Astyanax mexicanus: one gene and its partner. The protein of the gene in region 2 interacts with the protein of the main gene of each other region in a biochemical or structural test. Links are inferred from orthologs where the notes say so. Each region holds a gene or a part of one and is shown on either strand. Other genes may lie near its edges.

What was found.
Region 1: the proteins of pstpip1a (region 2) and ptpn18 form a complex in vitro, tested with the Homo sapiens proteins (2 studies listed by BioGRID and IntAct). The link is inferred for Astyanax mexicanus from reciprocal best matches to the Homo sapiens genes PSTPIP1 and PTPN18.

The regions. Positions count from the first base shown.
Region 1 is NC_064419.1:3,031,193-3,040,912, reverse strand, and holds the start of ptpn18 (tyrosine-protein phosphatase non-receptor type 18), read right to left. Parts: upstream 4,071-9,720; 5' UTR 3,889-4,070; coding exon 3,796-3,888; intron 1-3,795. Other genes in the region: mon1ba (vacuolar fusion protein MON1 homolog B), read left to right, coding at 6,403-6,760, 8,820-9,612. UniProt on the Homo sapiens protein: Differentially dephosphorylate autophosphorylated tyrosine kinases which are known to be overexpressed in tumor tissues.
Region 2 is NW_026040047.1:1,865,992-1,875,274, reverse strand, and holds the start of pstpip1a (proline-serine-threonine phosphatase-interacting protein 1a), read right to left. Parts: upstream 4,071-9,283; 5' UTR 3,606-4,070; coding exon 3,573-3,605; intron 2,265-3,572; coding exon 2,164-2,264; intron 2,069-2,163; coding exon 1,994-2,068; intron 1,838-1,993; coding exon 1,803-1,837; intron 1,709-1,802; coding exon 1,602-1,708; intron 1,486-1,601; coding exon 1,423-1,485; intron 1-1,422. UniProt on the Homo sapiens protein: Involved in regulation of the actin cytoskeleton. May regulate WAS actin-bundling activity. Bridges the interaction between ABL1 and PTPN18 leading to ABL1 dephosphorylation.

The DNA of each region.
Region 1 (9,720 bases), on a different chromosome or scaffold from region 2:
CACCCACCCCTAGTCATCACATCAGGGTACTACTACTACTTTTCTACTGTTTTTAGCAAAAAAAAAAAAAAATCACACTGTTTTCATTTCCCATCAGTATCATTTATTTTACTTTAATTCTGGATATATGGAGATATATTATTAGTATTATGGACTTCTGTTACAAATCTGATAAAATTATTGTTTTGTATTTTTTTTAATCTCAGTTAGGGGTGTGCCATATTATTTCATATTGTATGCAATAATACAATAGTAAAATTTAATTAATTTTTTTTTTCTTTGAAAAATTTTCTTTAACTTTTTTACTGTTCTGTCATATCGCCAAGAATATCATTATCACGAAAAAAATACTATGAAATATTGTGATATTATTTTAGGGCCATATCGCCCACCCCTTACTCACACCTTTCAGCACAGAGCCAATCAGCTTGCTGTTAATGCTGCAAGAGGGCAGACAGACAGACAGACAGACAGACAGACAGACAGACAGACAGACAGACAGACAGACAGACAGACAGATAGATAGATAGATAGATAGATAGATAGGCAGACAGACAGACAGATAGACAGACAGATAGACAGACAGATAGATGGGCATATAGTCCAAAAAGTCAAGAAAGTCCAAACAACTGACGACAATTTTGTCTGTATAGGAAAAATACATAAATAAATACAACAGTAATGGTAACAAATACAACATTTGCATTTTTAGACAAATTATTTTCATATTTGGACAGCTGTCAGAAAGCTTTAAAGGAAGTCATTCAGGCCAATGAATGGATAACCCTCTCACTCTGATCTGTGTGTGCATGCAAATGTCCCTCTCACGTGAAAAAAGAAGGCCTTTTTTTTTGGCATGACTCAGTGTTAACATATTCAAATGTTCTGAGGTGATGGTTTACTCAGTGCAACACTAAGCAGCACTGCCTTCATTCTCTTCATACAGAGTTTAATACAGTAATGTCTGTCTCAGAGCATCACCCTGAGTTAATAATCGACTGATTCTTTTATGGGCTCAATAAGGAACCAGGACATGAAGCTGTACCCTCATTTACCCCCAGTCAACGCACCGGAGAAGATCTGAAAAAGACTGTAAAAGTCACAGCTAATGTTTTTTTTTTCACTAGACTAAGAGTTTTTTTCACGTCGCAGTTTCCTACTTTTGAACTTTAGTTCAGATAAAGACGTACAGTTAGGTTATAAACCTTAGAAAGCATTCTGCTTTAACTTCAACTTCTGCTTAACTGTTTGGTGGAGCACATTTGAGACTCGGCTAGGGTAGGGCTGCACGATATTGGGAAAGTTAAATCTTAACAGTGCGACGTTTTTGCACGTCTCAGCAGAGACAGATACTGACCTGGGAAAATACGCCAGCAGCTCATTTAAGGGAACAGCAATGTTATTTTATTCTTTATACTGTTTATTGTTAAACAGGGGTCCGGTTTGTGCTCTGCAGTGTGTCCGTGTATGTGTGTGTTCGTGTCAGTGTTTTAATCAGTCAGTGGCGCACCTGTGTTTTCTTCCACTAAAATATACAGAATATTGTGGCCGATTATCCATCCATCCATCCATCCATCCATCCATCCATCCATCCATTTTAAATACTAATGGAGCATCTTACTTCCTCCAGTATCTCCCAGCACTGAACCTTGAGTTTTATTTCTATAGATGATTTTGGTTTTAAATACAATGTCAACAAAGCCGAACAAAATGAAATTGAATCCAGACCAAGAATGGGAACCAAAAAGTGTTACCTGAGTACACAGCACATACAGCAGCTTCCTCACACACAACTTACAGTGTAAGTGCAAGGGGTTTCAAGTTATATCAATCATTGTAAATCAGTGTGAAATAGACTGCACAACAGACTGCACAAAAATTATATTATTGTAAATTTATGAGCATTTAATGCTATATTTAATGTGGACATGAAACACTTCAAGTATTTAATATAATTCACAAGATGTATTTTCACTCTAACAAATAGTATAAGTTTAACAGTTGTCAATGAAGCTGAATTAAAATAAAAAGCAATCTAAATCTCATTTTTTAAGTAAGTGTAGTGCCCTCTTGTCCCAGCGCTGAAAGTGACGTCACGAGGTTGGTTCTCGGACGCCTCACTAACATAAACTATTAGCCTTCGGGAACTTAGCTCACTTCTGTTGTAGTAAAATGTTATAGGTTAAAGAGTGAGAAAGAGATTCACTTTCACTTTCATATCTCGTCTCTTAAGCGGACAGCTGTTTTTCGGCGGTGGCTAACGGCGCCTAGCGGTCCTGAAGCGCAAGAATCCTCCGGTTAGCAGCAATGCTAGGGGTTAGTAGCGACTCCGAGCACTTTCTAGACGAGGACTGTTATGTGGAGGAAAGGGTTTTGAGTCAGAAGTTTGTCATTCGCCAGACAAATAAGCTAAAGTCCGAGGCTTTTTACCTCCATTTTTAATTTTTTTTCCTCTGAACAGCTGGGATGTACAGACCACCTGACTGAGGGTAACCTTACTATAAAGTAGCAGCTGTGAGCCGCAAGAAACGAGCCAAACGACGCGCTCACCCAGCAGAGCAGCGAGAGGTAACTAACGTTAGCTAACTAGCTAACGCTAACTATGCTCCACGTTAGCCTAGTTCAGCTTTGTCTTCATTCATAATCTCCACAAACAACAAGCTCTTTTCCCTAACCCTGACCGCTAGCTACTGTATGTACCTGGACTCTTCAACCAACCAACCAACCAACCAACCTCGTGACGTCACCAGTGCTGCACGGGCAAGATGGCGGAGCCCTAGCGCAAACATAACAAACATAAATATAGTATGATTTAATTTAGTGTGTAAACATTTTATAAAAAAAAAATTACATTCAATAAAATAAATTCCATTTTATTCAATCCCTTAGAAAACTTGTACAAACTGAAATGTTTCATGTCCACTTTACAATAATACTATAAGAGCATAATCATGCAACTGCACAATTTAAGAGTAATAAAAATTTATTAAAACTATTTAAATAGCCTAAATGAATACATGATGCAAATGCAGCAAATAACAATATTAGCTACATTAAAAATGCTTTTTTTCCCCTTCAGTTACAAAAAAAGTAACTAAAACGGTGTAACAGCCCATTTTCCAACTATATATAACAAAAAGACATAATGAAGTAGTGTATAATGAAATTTCTCAATGACGTAACTAAGTATAATCTTTATATAGGTAGATATATTAATATTAATTTAATCCTATGCAGTTCAAATGAACGCATAGTGCTTATGTGTTCAGTAGGTTTCCAGTGTATATATGTTTTTTTTCATTTAAAAATAATGATGAACAAAATGTTTGTGTACATTTTATACACTTTAAAAACAGGATTTTAGGAAAATTGATTTTTTTCATCTTTTTTACAAAAGTATATTGGATTTCACTATCATTTTTTTTACAATATGCAAAAATGAAATTAAATCTGACATTTTTATATAAAATCCTGTTTGAGAAAGGCAGAAGAAAACACTAAAAATTGCTAAATATATGGATGTACAACTTTTTCCTCAACAATTTAAATATTTAAATACCTAAAAATAAGTATTGAACTTTTGCACTCAACTTTTAATTTTAATTTTAATTAAATGTAGCCTCAAACTGATCAATATATATTTGCTATCTGGGAATGAAACATAATAAATGTATGTTTAGTGAAATCTCTCAATAACTTCTCAGTATAATCTCTATATTAGTAGCTAGTTTATTATATGAATTTAATCCCAGTTTCCAGCTGCAGGTTTAGCGGGTGTACTCAGGTGGTACTCACGGTGTACTCAGCAGTGATCTCATTGTCCCCATCGCAGCCGCTCTCAGACAGGAACCTGACCCGCTGGATGAACTTCAGCAGGTGATCTTCCATCGCTCCGCAGGTCGATATTCCGCTTTAAATCCTCTTCATCGGGTTAAACCCGAGTCCAGAGCCGTGCTGAGCGGACCCGGGTCCGGGTCATGATCTCCAGCTCAGACCGAAGCACCTGATCCACCGCGAGCAGAACTGATCCCTCTCTCACGCTCTCATTAAACCCGGTCTGCGCTCCAACACGCGCACTTCTGCACTAACTAGTGCACTACAGCTGCGCGAATCAGCGCGAGTCAAGGTTGCCAGGTCCATCAAAAATATACATTTTGCGTAAATGCTCTCCAGAATGAGAAGACAGCACGAAACAAAACATTTTACCATAAATCTTTCGATTTTCTGATTTTTAGAACAAATAGTTTTTTTTATCAATTAAAATAGTGATTAAATTTTTTTATCCATCTTTCATGGTTATTTTTTTATTTTTTTAATATATAAAATGAAATTTTTTTGCATATTGATTTGTTACGATGGCATAATCCAATTTACTTTTTAAGAAGAATGAAAAGACAATATATATATATATATATATATATATATATATATATATATATATTACCATACACCACTCAACTTTCTTATGTTCAGAACGAATAGTTTATTTTATCATTTAAAAAAATGTTGCCTTTTGTAAACAGAATTTCAGGAAAATTTTATTTCATTAATATATATTAATTTTCAGATTTTTTTCATTTTTGCATATTGTATTTTGCATATTGATTTGCTATGATTGTAAAATCCAATTTGCTTTTTTAACAAGATGCAATAATGAAGAAATATGAAAATTAAGAGAGGATTAATTTAAGCAGAGTTTTTTTTTTTTTTTTTTTTTTTAGAGATTTTTATGGGATTCAGCATGCCCAGGTTGCCAGGTTCAGCAAAAATGAACAAAACATTTATTTTTCCCAAAAACCTTTTTATTTTTAATGTAACATATGCCTGATGGTATAGTCTAATTTTTTTTTTTTTAACAAAATGCAAAAAATTGAAAATCAAGAAAAGTTTAATTTTTCCCTGAGATTCTGTTTGCAAAAGTAAATAAATTTAAAAAATGATACCAAAACTAGTTCTTCATCATTTTAAATTGGAAAGATATATATAATGGGATTTTACATCCAATATTTCGTATTTTGCATTCAAGGATTTAGAAAATAATATGTATAGCAATGATAAATGTTATTTATCATCTTATCTATGTCTTATATCAGTTTTTATTATGCATGTATTAAACCGGACCATTCTTTAGGCTCTCAGCTATTGGGGTTTAGGTGGGGTATAAAGCCCCCCAGTATTGAGCTGGGAATATTAGGGAGGGACTTTTATTGTGAACAGTCAAGAAGTTCTTCATTCACTGCTGTTCTGAGCACATTCTTTCTACTCACAATAAACACACTGTGGACGAGTCTCCTGACTGCCTGCACCATATCATCATCATCAGCATGAGTACAATTTTTTTTAGATTATCTTTCTTGCTTTCTGAGCTATTATGATTATTTAATAACCTGTAATAACTTTAAAAGTAAAGTTACTACAAATTAAATATTATACCTAAGCATTATAACTGTTAATGTGTCTATTGGAAACATTTTTACTGTTATTGCTGTCCCAGGTGGTTGCTAGGGTGTTGCTGTATGCATGCTCTTTTGTAGCTAAACTAATTCTCAGTGGTTGCTTTGTCGGTTGCTATAGTATTTCAGGTGGTTACTGAGGTTGCAGTGTTGCAGAATGGCTGCTAAGGTGGTAACTAATATGTTTTAACAATATGTCAGGTGGTTGATAAGGTGTTGCAGAATGGGGGATCAGGTGGTTGCTAATATGCTGTGTTATTATGTCAGGTGGTTCCTAATGCATTGCTGAATGGGTGTTCTGGTGCCGCTAGGTTTTAGTTAGTGGTTTTCAGGGTGGTTGCAACAGTGTTCCAGGTGGTTGATAAGGGGCTACTGTAGTATGTCAGTAATGCATTGTTGAATGGGTGTTCTGTTGCCGCTAGGGTCTTAAATAGCAGTTTTTAGGGTGGTTGCTTAGGTGTCTATGGTGTTTTTTCCAGCGTCAGTTTATTCGGTGTCATAAAAAAGAACAATATTGTATAACATCATATCTAAATATAGTGTATATTTGTCCTGATTTAACACTAAAGTTTCTGACAGTAAAATATATATAAACATAATAAAAGTATAATAATAACATCATGGGAGAAACTTGATTATAATATACTGTATTAAGATAACCCAGATAAAAAGGGCTAGTTTCTAAACTTCAAAAGAGCCTTTGATGAAACCTTGATGATGACATACCACTATAGATCTTATTATCTCCAGCAGCACTCTGAGCACTGTGGACGTTATTCACGGTCTATAAAACACATCTGACCCCTCCTGGAATCCCTGATTAACCTGTAGCGCTCCTCACAGGGATCCATTGTCCGTCACCAATGGAAGAAGTGTTCCTTAGGAAGAGGGACATCATTTCCACAGTAGAAAAAAGCAGAAGTTTGGAGGGAAGTGAGAATCGGACAGCATGTTGAAGAGAGACAGTGCGGGAACTGATGGGGGTCTACCTGAAAACACCTCTCTGGAGGAATCTAGTGATTTTACAGTGCTTTTATCTGGAACGGAACTGAAGCAGAGCGAGAGTTCCTCAAGTCTCGGGAGCGACTGCTCCTCAGCTTCCCAAATCCAGACCAGTCAGAATGAGGAGGTGATGACGGACGGCTGGAGGAGCCGCAGGAAGCATGTGTTTGTGCTGAGCGAAGCAGGGAAGCCCATCTACTCTCGCCATGGCAGCGAGGAGGCCCTGTCTTCAGTGATGGGGGTCATGATGGCGCTGGTGTCTTTTGTCCAGGTTGGAGGAAACACCATTCAGTCCATTTACTCAGGTGAGATGTTATTAAAGGGGTTATTAACTTTTTATGTTTTATATATACCACAAATCATAAAAAAGTTTGAGGATGCATGGAAAATACAAAAAAAAATGTATGTACTAGTACTGTGTATTATTGGCGATACAATTTAATATATTACGATATTTTGCACCTTTTTTAAGGTGTCCTTCAGCTAAAATCCACTCTAAAATCCACTTTTTCTGGTTCTTTGTGAAATACATTAGGTCTCTCTGAGTTGTATATGATGCTGCACATGAAAAGAAAATACTCTGAAAATATGTTAATTAGTATTCATGGCCACACCCACCTTGGCTCGGGACCGCCCACAGACAGAGCTGAAGCCAGGCAGAGGCACTGCCTCGTCAGATAGGAGCTAACAGCGCTAAGAACAGCAGTTCGGCAGTTTGTTGCTGGGTTATTTGTGCGAATAACACATCAGTGTTTATATGCTTTACCCAGTAATGCAGAGCTAAGGAACAAATGGTTAGAATTTGTCTATGGAGGAAAAAACACCACCAGCCAAGTACAATTGAAATAGGTAGGTGTGTATGTTTAGAATAACAAAACCCGCCAGCCACTCCGCTAATGTAGCATCGTAGCTAAGGCACATACAATGCTTTTCCACCAATGCAAAACCAAAAGACACTGGAGAATACAATATTGAATAAAAGAAGAAGCTGGTATTATGAACTGTAGACCACTGGTGGTCATTCAAAGCAATAATGTGGCACATTTACACAATATGTTCCTATTACCCTATGAGCTATGAGGCTAATGTAGATATAGAGTGATGCAAGCCTTGTGTAGAAACCACATAAACAAATCTCATTAAGATGATTACTCAAGTCACCCTAATGTTTAACTAAAGGCACACAATTGAACACCACATCTGGCCTTGTGGTGAGTGATTTAAACCCGCCTTATCTGGAGTGACATTGTATACAACGTGTCAACACCTAGTAGTGATACACGAGAATAGGATATCAGTAGGATAATGTTCACCCACACACAGCTACATTTTCCCAGGAAGGTCTCTGTCAAATTGCTTCATTTCCCTATCCTACAATATCTCCAGATTTATATGAACAAATATTGGACACCTACTTATTCACTGTTTCTTCTAAATTCATAGGTATTAAAAAGAGTTTGTTAGAATCTTGTTCTTTACTGTAAGCTTAGATTTCCAATAGTTTCCCCAGCACTAAGGCTGGGTGCAGCAGCATTAGCATTAGCATTAGCCGCTAACCACAGTGCTAGCGGGACATGAATGCCACCCGACCGTGCTAAGCTGAGGAACCCTAAGTGTTCAGGTAACCCAGGGTGCTATCAACTAGTGGTTTGTCCCACGTAGCTTGTTTTAACATGGTAAACATGCAGACTACAGTCCAATATACTCACCTCTGGACGGTGAAAGATCTAGCACTGCTGCGGTTAGCGGCTAATGCTAATGCAGGGTGCTCTCAGCCTTAGTGCTGGAGAAACTTCACTGAAAATTTACCCAAGTAACGCTGTACTTCAGTAGAGTGGCTTTACTGCGCCTTAATTAAAACCTGACTGGTAGAATTTATAAATAAGGCACATTGATGATTTTGGAGAAAATGTAAAGACTTAAAGGACTTTAAGGTGCGTGTTATAGTCTGAAAAATATGGGACTTAACTATGAATGTTATCAGGCAAAATTCAGAAAAAAATGATCCTAAATTTTCCTCAAGTGCAGTCCTAAAGACAGTCATCAAATACTTTGTGATGAAACTGGCTCTCATCAGGACCGCTCCAAGAAAGGAAGACCAAAAGTTACCTCTGTTGCACAGAATAAGTTCATTTATAAGTTCAAGAGTTACCAGCCAAGGAAAAGAAAAACAATAAAAAACTCGTCTTGTACTGACAACAATGTCATATTGTGATGGTAAAAACTGTTCATAAATATAAAATATATTTAAATATTCAAATTATTATTTCTAAATACATTATTTAATGCTCATAAATTGATTATAAAGCCTCTATTCAGGCACCTGAATAAAGTGTTACTAGATTTTGTATCACTCTCTTTCAGATGGGCACACGATTGTCTTTATGCAGAAAGGACCTCTGGTTCTGGTTTCCGCATCAAAGAGTCGACAGTCTGAGCTGCAGCTTCGCTCTGAGCTCCTGCATGTTTACCATCAGATCGTCAGCATGCTCACCCAGGCCAGCATCAATCGCATTTTCCAGCGCAGGAAGAACTACGACCTCCGCCGGCTGCTGTTCGGCTCGGAGAAGGTTATAGATGGTCTCCTGGATGTAATGGAGTCTGAGGCTGGTTTCCTGCTCTCGGCTGTGCAGTGCCTGCCTTTGGCTTCGTCTTCCAGAGACGTTCTCAACCAGGTCCTGCAGAAAGCAGTCACTCCTAATCTTGTCCTGTCTCTCCTGGTCACTAAGGGTCAGCTCCTCTCCATTGTCCAGGAGAAAATGGTCATAGAAGACGCCAGGCTGAAGCCGAGTGATCTGCACCTGCTTCTGAACCTCATTCGAGCTTCCACGTCCTTCCAGACGGGTGAAATTTGGACCCCGGTCTGCCTTCCTCGTTTTAATCCAGACTGCTACTTCTACACTTACGTCGCCTACCTGGACCCTCCAGAGTGTAGCGTCTGCCTCGTGCTTCTGTCCACCGATAAGGAGGCTTTCTACGCCGTGGCGGAGTGCAAGCGGAAGATCGAAGAGGGGGTTAGAAACAACAATGTTCTGCAGTCTATCTCCAAAGCTCAACCATGTCAGGTTCGCCATGTTGGCGTGGCTGAGCTGAGACACTTCCTGTACATGCCCTTTGACGTTCCAGATCACTATGGCCAGCTGCCGCAATTCACCAGGTGAACAAGTGAGATATATGTGAGTTTCGGTCTATAAGTGACGCTGAGATGTTTAAAAACTCCAGCAGCACTGCTGTGGCTGATCCACTTGTACCAGCACATTAGAAA
Region 2 (9,283 bases):
ATAATAATGAAACACTAGTTTCTGGACTTCCATAGTTATATAGTGAGTTTCACTAGGCGCTATATCAGAAAGTTTAAGTGTTATGTTCTGTAACTCTTAATGTAGATTAAGTTCTGGACCGCTGAACATCTCAACCGAGGTGCCGGGCTGTTTTCACATGTTATGCAGTCATTTTTAGGCTATGCCATATTTTACCCTCTGAGGGAAACAGATAAGATTGAGTGTTATGTTCTGTAACCGCTAGTGTAGACTAAGTTCTGGACCGCTGAACACCCCGGTATCAGGCTGTTCTCACATGTTACGCCGTATCGTTGTGTAGCTTTAATGCCCATATCTCCTATCACTGAACTATTTACCCAAACCTGGTTTTGTTAGACAGAACCTAATCTTAGAATATGTGCTACTGATAATGGCTAACTGTTTATTTCCACCTAGTTGGTGTTCATAAATTGGAGTTAGATTAGTCTATTTTAGTATCTCACCTAAGTCTCATATAAAATACTGGAAAGACGGAATACGCATTAGGGGGAAAAGGCATAGGCCTGTTGTCTCCTCCCATACAACTCCAAAGGGTGATGTGGATCAGCACAAGACTGCATCTGTGAGCTGATGTATCAGAACCGAGTCGCTGTGCTTTCCGTGTCGAGCGTTAGTGCTATGATGCTACTCAGCAATGCTGCATCAGTAGCAGTTCAAAAATAGGTGGAGTCTGACTTCACATGTCACCTATTGTGTGGGTTGCGTAATAGGCCTTATAAACTGGGGAGAAAATCTGATAAAACATTTTAAAATATGTTTATTAACTATTTGTCAATGCAATAGCACAGAGTCTCTTACCTTAAGTAACTTAAATAAGGGACACGATTAATAATTCAGTAGTAAATAATTTCAATCAGAAATATATGTTTAGATTAGATTTAAGATGATTCACTTTAAACAGTTACTCTGTGATCTTAAAACTGTCCTGATCTTCAGAACACACTAGTACAAGAGTGTGTGTGAGAACACACCGCATTTTGAGGAAATTACCAATCTATGAGAGGAATAGGGAAACTTGCGTTGGTTTATGTGTGTGTGTGTGTGTGTGTGGGGTTTTAAAAATATTAATGAGGAATAGATGTGGGACTTTTGAGCACTGACCCCACCACACACACAAAAACCACACACACACACACACACACACACACACACAGGCACGGAAATGCACACCGATTTAAATTGACTTTGAATGCTTCTTCCTCTTCCTGCTCTCTCGCTCTTTCGCTCTCTCACTCTCTCAGTGCCACTTATAGACGTGTAATTTCCTGACTGATCTTCTGGTTCAGCAGCACATCTTTCTGAGTGTGAAAAGTGAGGCGGGTAGTATCTGCCCCTGCCCCTCGGGTCGTGCTTTTGTGATTTATCTGAAAGTCTGAGACTCACCTCTATCGTCTTCTTGTACTGAGAGACTTTGGTCTTATGAACCTTCTCCATGATTCCCTCAAACTGCAATAGAGAAAGGTTCATAATCAGAGCCCTGCCAGGCCTCAGTGTGGGCTGGTGAGACAGATAGAGGATGAAGGTCAGGATAAAACCCACTGTGTCTTTCTGCACGGACGCACCTTTTTCCGCTGCTCTTTCTGACGTTCTCTGAACTGCTCCATGCGCTTGACTTCTTCTTTTAACATCCCCGAGAGGTGGATGTGCAAGTTTCCGATGTTCTCGATTTCTGTTTGTAAATTAAACATCAGTGTCTGTGGTCCAGTTTAAGTGCATAAATTATAACTGATAAAACCAGCGGGACGTGCCGCCCTGCCACTTACGTGCTTTGAGTTGGTCAAACGAAGCCTTTAAAGTGCTGCAAGAAGAAATGAGGAACGTGTTACTAATATGGATGTGTCTCACATCCACATTCTTTCTGCTTATGTCCTAAGCCTGATTCTCAGTAGTGTGGATTAGTACCTTGTCAGGAGTGGAGCACTCTGTGCGGAGGAGTTAAAAGTTAACCACTTACCCTATTTCACTTTGGCCTCCAGCCTTTCGTGCAATAGCCACTAGCTCTTTGCCATACTTCTCTTCTGCCATCGCCCTGCAAAGAGCAGAAGCCCCTTCTCATCACATCATCACGTCTAAATGAGCTTCAAATCTTATTCAAATGGAAAGTAAATCAATTTAAAAGATCACCTCATCTTCAAGAGCTCCTCCATGTCTTTGCAGGCCCGCCGGCCATCGTAGAGCCTCTGGGTGAGGGCCTCGTACCCGGCGTTGCTAACAAAGTCTGGGCCCTAAGTGCCAGTGGAGGAAGTGTTATCTCTTCACCATCCAGATAAAGTGTTTTTCTCAGCTCATATAACCATAAATTATTTTTAATTAATAAGTTCACATTTAGAGGAAATTATAATCAGGAAAGGCTTGTTTAAACCAACACAGCAACAACGTGGTGTATTTCAGGCTAATTCACATCACAAGATCATCTTTCCATACTACTACCAGTGCGTCATGTCATGTTACTCATCCTGAATTCTGGAATTAAACCGTTGGTGGCTCAGCTCACAAATAGAATGCCACGTCTAGATTCTAGCTGTTCCACACATGCGGGATGATCTCGTTTAGACTCTTTACAGCCACACTTCTGTCCTATAAATCTAAAACTTTAGCAGAAGCAGATCCAGAATGTACTTTTTTAATCATGGGAACAGCTCGACCTCTGGAAGTGCATCAGGTAAAACAGGTTTATGAGGCGAGAGCTAGGATGCAAATGAACCCAGAAACGTTCCGTGCTGCTTTGAAGATTTGTTGTTTTATATATATGTATACATATATCGCTGAAGATCAAAGCCACATGTGTCATGCAGTTCCAGGGGAGAACAATTCTTGAAGAGAATCCGCAAAAAGAGTGGAAGTGGTTTACCCTGACAATGCCGACCTGATTACCGATCCCCCCCACGCTCTAAAAACTACAGAAACACCCATTACCTCCTGGCAGGGAACGCTATTCTCTGACCATTAAACTACGAGATATCTGCTTTAGTGTTTTATTTAGAATGGACAGTAAGAGTGGATTGTGTAGAATATATTATATAGATACATACATACATACATAAAAGAGGGGAGTATATACTTCTACCATACTTCTACACACAACGTAGAAGGTACTGCACTGTCCTGTCTTTAAATTGTCTCGTCTTTTGTATTTATTGTATTTATTGTTATTTAGTGTTATAATTTTATAATTTTATGTTGCACTGTCGTCACTCCTGCACTTTATGTTGTCTATTGCTTGTGGTTCTATGTTGCACCATGGTTCCGGAGGAACGTAATTTCATCACACTGTGTACCTGTACTCAGACGTAATGACAATAAAAGCCTCTTGACTTGACTTGACTTGACAACTCTCAGACTACCATTCTGCCAGTTTATGACAACACTCTACAGCCTAGAACGTGGAACATCCTTCTTTAAAACTGTACAAGAAACACAAGATGAACGTTACAGTTCAAAAAGGAACATTCATATCCAGATATACACCTGCCACACATGGACTTCAGCTGAAACATCAAACTTCTAAAACATCTTAACACATGATTACTTACCCAGAACGCATCTTTAAACTGTAACGGTGTCATCTCAGCCTCTGTAGCTCTGTTTACTCCAGCGCAAACTCCAGCGAAATGCAGTGAGTAAGTCAAATTTTCAGTTAAAAAAGGAACAACAGCAGTACACACAGGAAACCCAAGACCTCACAGCAGTTCACTTGTGCTGCCTGTGTTCGACTAGGATGAGGAAGAGCTTCTGCATTATGTCACTGACCACAGGCGCCCTGTAGATAACAGCCTGTTTTAGTCACCGTTCAAACGCTGGACATAATGAACCTCCTGAAATAGAAGATGCTAAATTGAACAGAAGGTTACACTATACAGTGAAGTAAATAATTATTGAATCTCTTGCTGATTTGAAGTTTCCAAACTGTAAAAGACATGAACAGTCTATAATTTTAAGGGAAGGTTAATTTTAACCGTGAGAAATAGAATATCAAAAATAAAATCCAAAAAAATATCAAATTGTATAAATTATATCAATTGATTTGCATTTTGCAGAGAGAAATAATAATTCAGTCTAGGGCTGCAGCTATTGATTATTTTAGTAATCAAGTACTGTACTGAAAAATCAATTTGATTTATTGAGAAATTGGATAAGACATATTTGTTTGCTTAAAGAGTAATTAAAAATACTCAAGAAAACAAGACATTTTACTTAATAATAAATGACCAATTGATTTCCTTTTTTAAAGTTATATTTTTAACTTCACAGCATACATTTCAAACAGCAAACACAAATAGAAATAAATAAAGAAATAATAATTATTTTTATAATTAGTACTTTAAAACAATTAAGTTAAATTTTTTTCAACAAGGATTTCTTGTAAGTATCAAAACTATAGGGAATAATCAATAAAAAGGCATAAACGTTTGCATTATGTTGTGTGTCTTAGCTTCTGAACAGCAGAGATGTCGCCAGTCCGTCTCACAGAGCCGGTATCATGTATTTATTTATAAACTCCTCAGGCTGAGTCGGTGCAGCATTAAAGTGTGTTGTTGTGGGAGACAAGAGCGAATACACGCTGTTCAGCCTAAATGCTCCATTATTATAGTCGTTTTTGCCTCGTAAGTTGTCGCTCTTTTCCCTCGCTGCTTTAAAACACTCTCTTCTCAACTAAAACCTCCGCCGCCTACTCCTTCTTCCTGTGCGCGGATGGCGTACCGCTAAGCACGTTGTCACATTAAAAGTGTGAATTAGTTGTAAGAAAATGAAAGAAATACAAAATGACTATCAATCAACATCAATCTGGGGTTCCATGCAAACTCTCACCTCGTGGAGTATACTTGATCATGAGGAAGGTGAAAGATCAGCCTAAAACTACACAAGGGGAAGTTCTTAATGATCTCAAGGCAGCTGGGACCCCAGTCACCAAGAAAACCTTTTGGTAAGACATTATGCTGTAATGGATTAAAGTTCTGCAGTGCTGCAAGGTCCTCCTGTCGAAGAAGGAACATGTGCAGAACCGTCTTTAGTTAGCCAATAAATACCTGGAGGATTCTGAGAGTGATTGGGAGAAGGTTCTGTGGTCAGATGGGACAAAAATCGAGCTTTTGGCCTACGGCCGCATGCCTACGACTGCAGCACAGTAGTGCCAATATTACACATTATAGCACTCCATCTCATGTATTATTGCTGATGTATAATTATGTTTAGTATGTCACTGAAACTTTTTTTAAGGGTAGCAGTGTGGCTGTGCTACGTACGGACATGGATAGTGTGAAACAAAAACTGAAATGGAGCATGGCCGCTCCACATGCTCAGATGATATCACTACTCTGCAAACAACCGTGCACAGGCTTAGCAAACATGTAGCTGCTCTGCGGGAGAAACGAGTCGACCTGAAGGGACGAATGAGGAGCACGAATATTCTAACTCTGAATGTGGAGGAGATGTCTGGATCGAGTTTTACCACCGTCTGCAACCGAGGCAGCAGGGGGGGCAAGCCTTGTGCTATTGTGGCCAAACTTCACTATTATCAGGACTGTGTGGACACTCTTCTGAGCAGGAAGGCCAGGTCTCTGTAGTATAATGACATTTTCATTCCCCGATTGCCCACCCAGTGTAGCCTGCGCCAGTTCAGCATTTAACAATGTTAAAAACATCCTCCGCAGGCAGAAAAATACTCGTTTCTGCATTTTTTATCCAGCCAGGCATGCATATGCATAAAAAACATGATGGGACTGAAAAAGTCCCAAAATATGGAGGCAGAAAAGTGACATAAGCATAAATAAATAAATGGAAGTATAAATGAATAAATAAATATATAAATACATAATTGTATAGATAAATACATTAAAAGTACACACTTAAAATATTTCCATGCATAAACCTTTATTTAGGGCTGTTTCTGCATTTATTTATATATTTATTGATAAATATATTGCTACATTTATTTACTTCCATGACCCTCATTATCTGATGATATTTAAACTCCTTCTGTTAGGTTTATAAAGGGTAAAGGATGGTTTAGTTCAGATCAGTAAACAAACTCATTAACTGATCTGGTGTGAAAACACCCTAAAAGAGGGGTACGTGTCTAGTTGCATCCATGCACAAAGCCAAAGCATGCGTGCGTTTCTCTAATTCTCAGACAACAGAATTCTTAAATCTGCTATATTAATCTGTAAGAAATTGTGGTTGCCTTTGCTGAAGTGAAAGTTCACAAACAGCAGTTGTAGATATTTGGCACATAAAGGCCTAATTCTTATATGTGTGTACTCTTATTTATGTTGGATTTAAAATTTATGTTAAATATAAGTTGTGTGCTTTTTTTTGTATAGGACGGGAGTGTTTGTTACGCCCCTGAGAGAGGGGATAGTGGAAAATACCAAATTTAATGAACACAGGACACACTGATGAGTGTTCAAAGCAGCATAACTTTAGTATGATGCAATCTCAGCATGTGCTCTCTGTTCCCCTCACTCAGTCCAAACTAGACACGCCCCTAGCACAGGCTCAACCAACTGGTGTACACAGTAATAACCCAATAACTTGAAATACAGTGACTAGTAATAATATCAAAACAACACAGAACTATTTTCCTTTTTCTCTATATATTTTCTTTTCTTTTTTACATATATATATTTATATAGATATTTTTTATCTCCCTTTTTTCAGTATATCACACACTCCCCACCAATATAGATGTCGTCCCGACATCACAAAGAATGTGTTTGCACATTACATTTTTTTTCAACCATTTTTTTGTATATAGCCAACAGTCAAACTCCTTTCTGTTCTTTTAGGTAAGTCTCTACTGCAGAAAGGAAATGTATTTCTATTTATCAGTGTCCACTAACATGAACAGTGTCTTCTTTTTCCTTTTTTTTTCCATTCTGCAAATTTGTGTGCTCTGCTTTTTCACAGTCCATGCGTGTTGCAAGCATATGTGCGCATGTGAGAGGGAAAGTCTGTTTATCTTATGTTCATGTCCATTGGGTAAGTGTACTCAACTGCTCTGTCTATCCACAGTCCATGAGTGTTGTGAGCATAGGTGTGTGTGTGTGTGTGTGGAAGTCCTTTTAGTTCATGTCCATATTCATCAGGTACTCTGCTTATCCACAGTCCATAAGTGTTGTGAGCAGGGGTGTATGTGTCAGTTCAGTTTCTTTTTAGTTTGTGTCCATCGTATGTGTACATGACCAATCTGTTTTATCACAGTTCATGGTATGTTTCAAATGTATAAGTGTGAAAGTTCTTTCAGGTGTTGTCCATCCCTAGTAGGTATATGTAAACAACTCTGTTCACAGTCTATGAATGTTGTGAACATATTTGTATGCGTGAAAGAACAGAGGTGAACAGTCCATCAACATTCCCAGGATGTCTTTTACTCAGTTCCTATGCAAATGCATTGAACAGTAATGCCCAGGGGGAAAGTAAAATTGTGTAGGGTCCATCCATGTTTGTCTTGTATGTTCCACATCCCAAGGCCAAGGAAAATGCCTGTGAGTGTCACTTTCTGAAAGAGAAGCTAGATAGCATACTGGGGTACCAAGCTGGTCATAGGTGAATAACTTTGGTGCTCGCTTCTCTCTGTTGGGTCGTTGATACTTGTACTTTGCCTTCGTTTCATCATCAATGCTGTCAGCAGCAGTACACGGAGGGAGTGATTCGCTTCTCTCAAAGAAATTATCCTGTTCAACTGTTTGTCTCCCTTGAGCAGACATCTCTGGCTGAATGTCCTGATCCAGAGCACAGTTCCTATCGTGGGCCTCACTTTGCTGGGGCACATTTTCCAATCCAAGAACTTGATTCTCAGTTTGTACAGCTGGCTCTTGAGCTTTTGTCTGAATATCACGTCCAGTGTTGCAACTGTATTGAGGCTGTGGCACAGTTATGCAGTGGTATTCATAGTCATCCTCATCACTGTCAGTCCCTGCTTGAATGTTCTCTTCTCTTTCTGGGTTTTTTTTCGTTCTCTTCTTTGTTTTTTTGAGTTTGCCGTCTTGAGTTGGACCTCTAGTGGTAAGTAATCCGGTGTAGGATTCTGCTTCCTCTTCCTAGCTCCGGAACAACTTCATAGATGGGAATATCTTTATTTACTTGCCATACAACTTTGTGAATTTGTTCCTCCCAATGATTTCGAAGTTTGCCTGTCCCACCTCGGGGTGTCATGTTTCTCACAAGAACACGATCGCCTTCTTGCAACACAGAACTCCTGACTTTCTTATTGTAATTCCGGTTTCCTCTTTCGGCAGACTTCTTGGCGTTCTCTCTTGAAATCTCATATGCCTCCTGCATTCCAGATTTCCATTGCTTTACATATTCCTGATGATCACCTGTTCCACTCTCTGGAGTTAGGCGGAACAAAAGATCAACTGGCAGTCTCGGAGGCCGTCCATAAAGAAGATAAAAGGGAGAAAACCCAGTGACTTTGCTGCGAGTGCAGTTGTAAGCATAAATGAGCTTGTTTAGCGAATCCTTCCAATTGGATTTTTCTCTCTCAGTCAGTGTTTTCAACATCTGGAGGAGAGTTCTATTAAAATGCTCCACCTGACCATTCCCTTGGGGGTGGTACGGTGTACTTCTAGAGCCAATAACACCACAGTTTTTCTTCAACTGTGCGAAAAGTTGGTTTTCGAATTCACCTCCCTGGCCATGATGTATCCTCATGGGAAATCCGAACTTCAATGCATAGTCACCGAATATCTTGTCAGCTACAGTTTTAGCAGATTTTGATGTCGTAGCATATGCCTGAACAAAACGTGTGAAATGGTCAATTACTACCAGGATATACTCGTATCCACCTGAGCTTCTGTCTACATGAAGAAAATCTATTGAGACCAGTTCAAAAGGCTGTGACGTAACAATGTTTGTGAGAGGAGCTCTAGTTTCTCGACTTGGTTTCTTCTGCTTCAAACACACACAAGAATAGGAAACATAGTGCTCAACATCCTTCTGCAGGTTAGGCCAGAAGAACCTATCTCTGATTAATGACACTGTCCGGTCCACTCCCTGATGACCCATTTCATCATGCAATTCTCTCAGGACCATCTCTTTGTATTTCTCTGGTAAGATCAACTGTTTTCTTGTGGCTGTCTTTCGGTATAAAAGGCCATTTTCATCAAAGATCAATCGATCCCATTCACGGAGCAGCCATTTGCTTTTTATACCCAGCTTTCCCAACTGGTGACCAGTAGGGCGAGCATTTGAGCCAGGAATTCTAGCTTCCCTGAATGAAGATGGTAGTTTTCTCTGGTTCTGT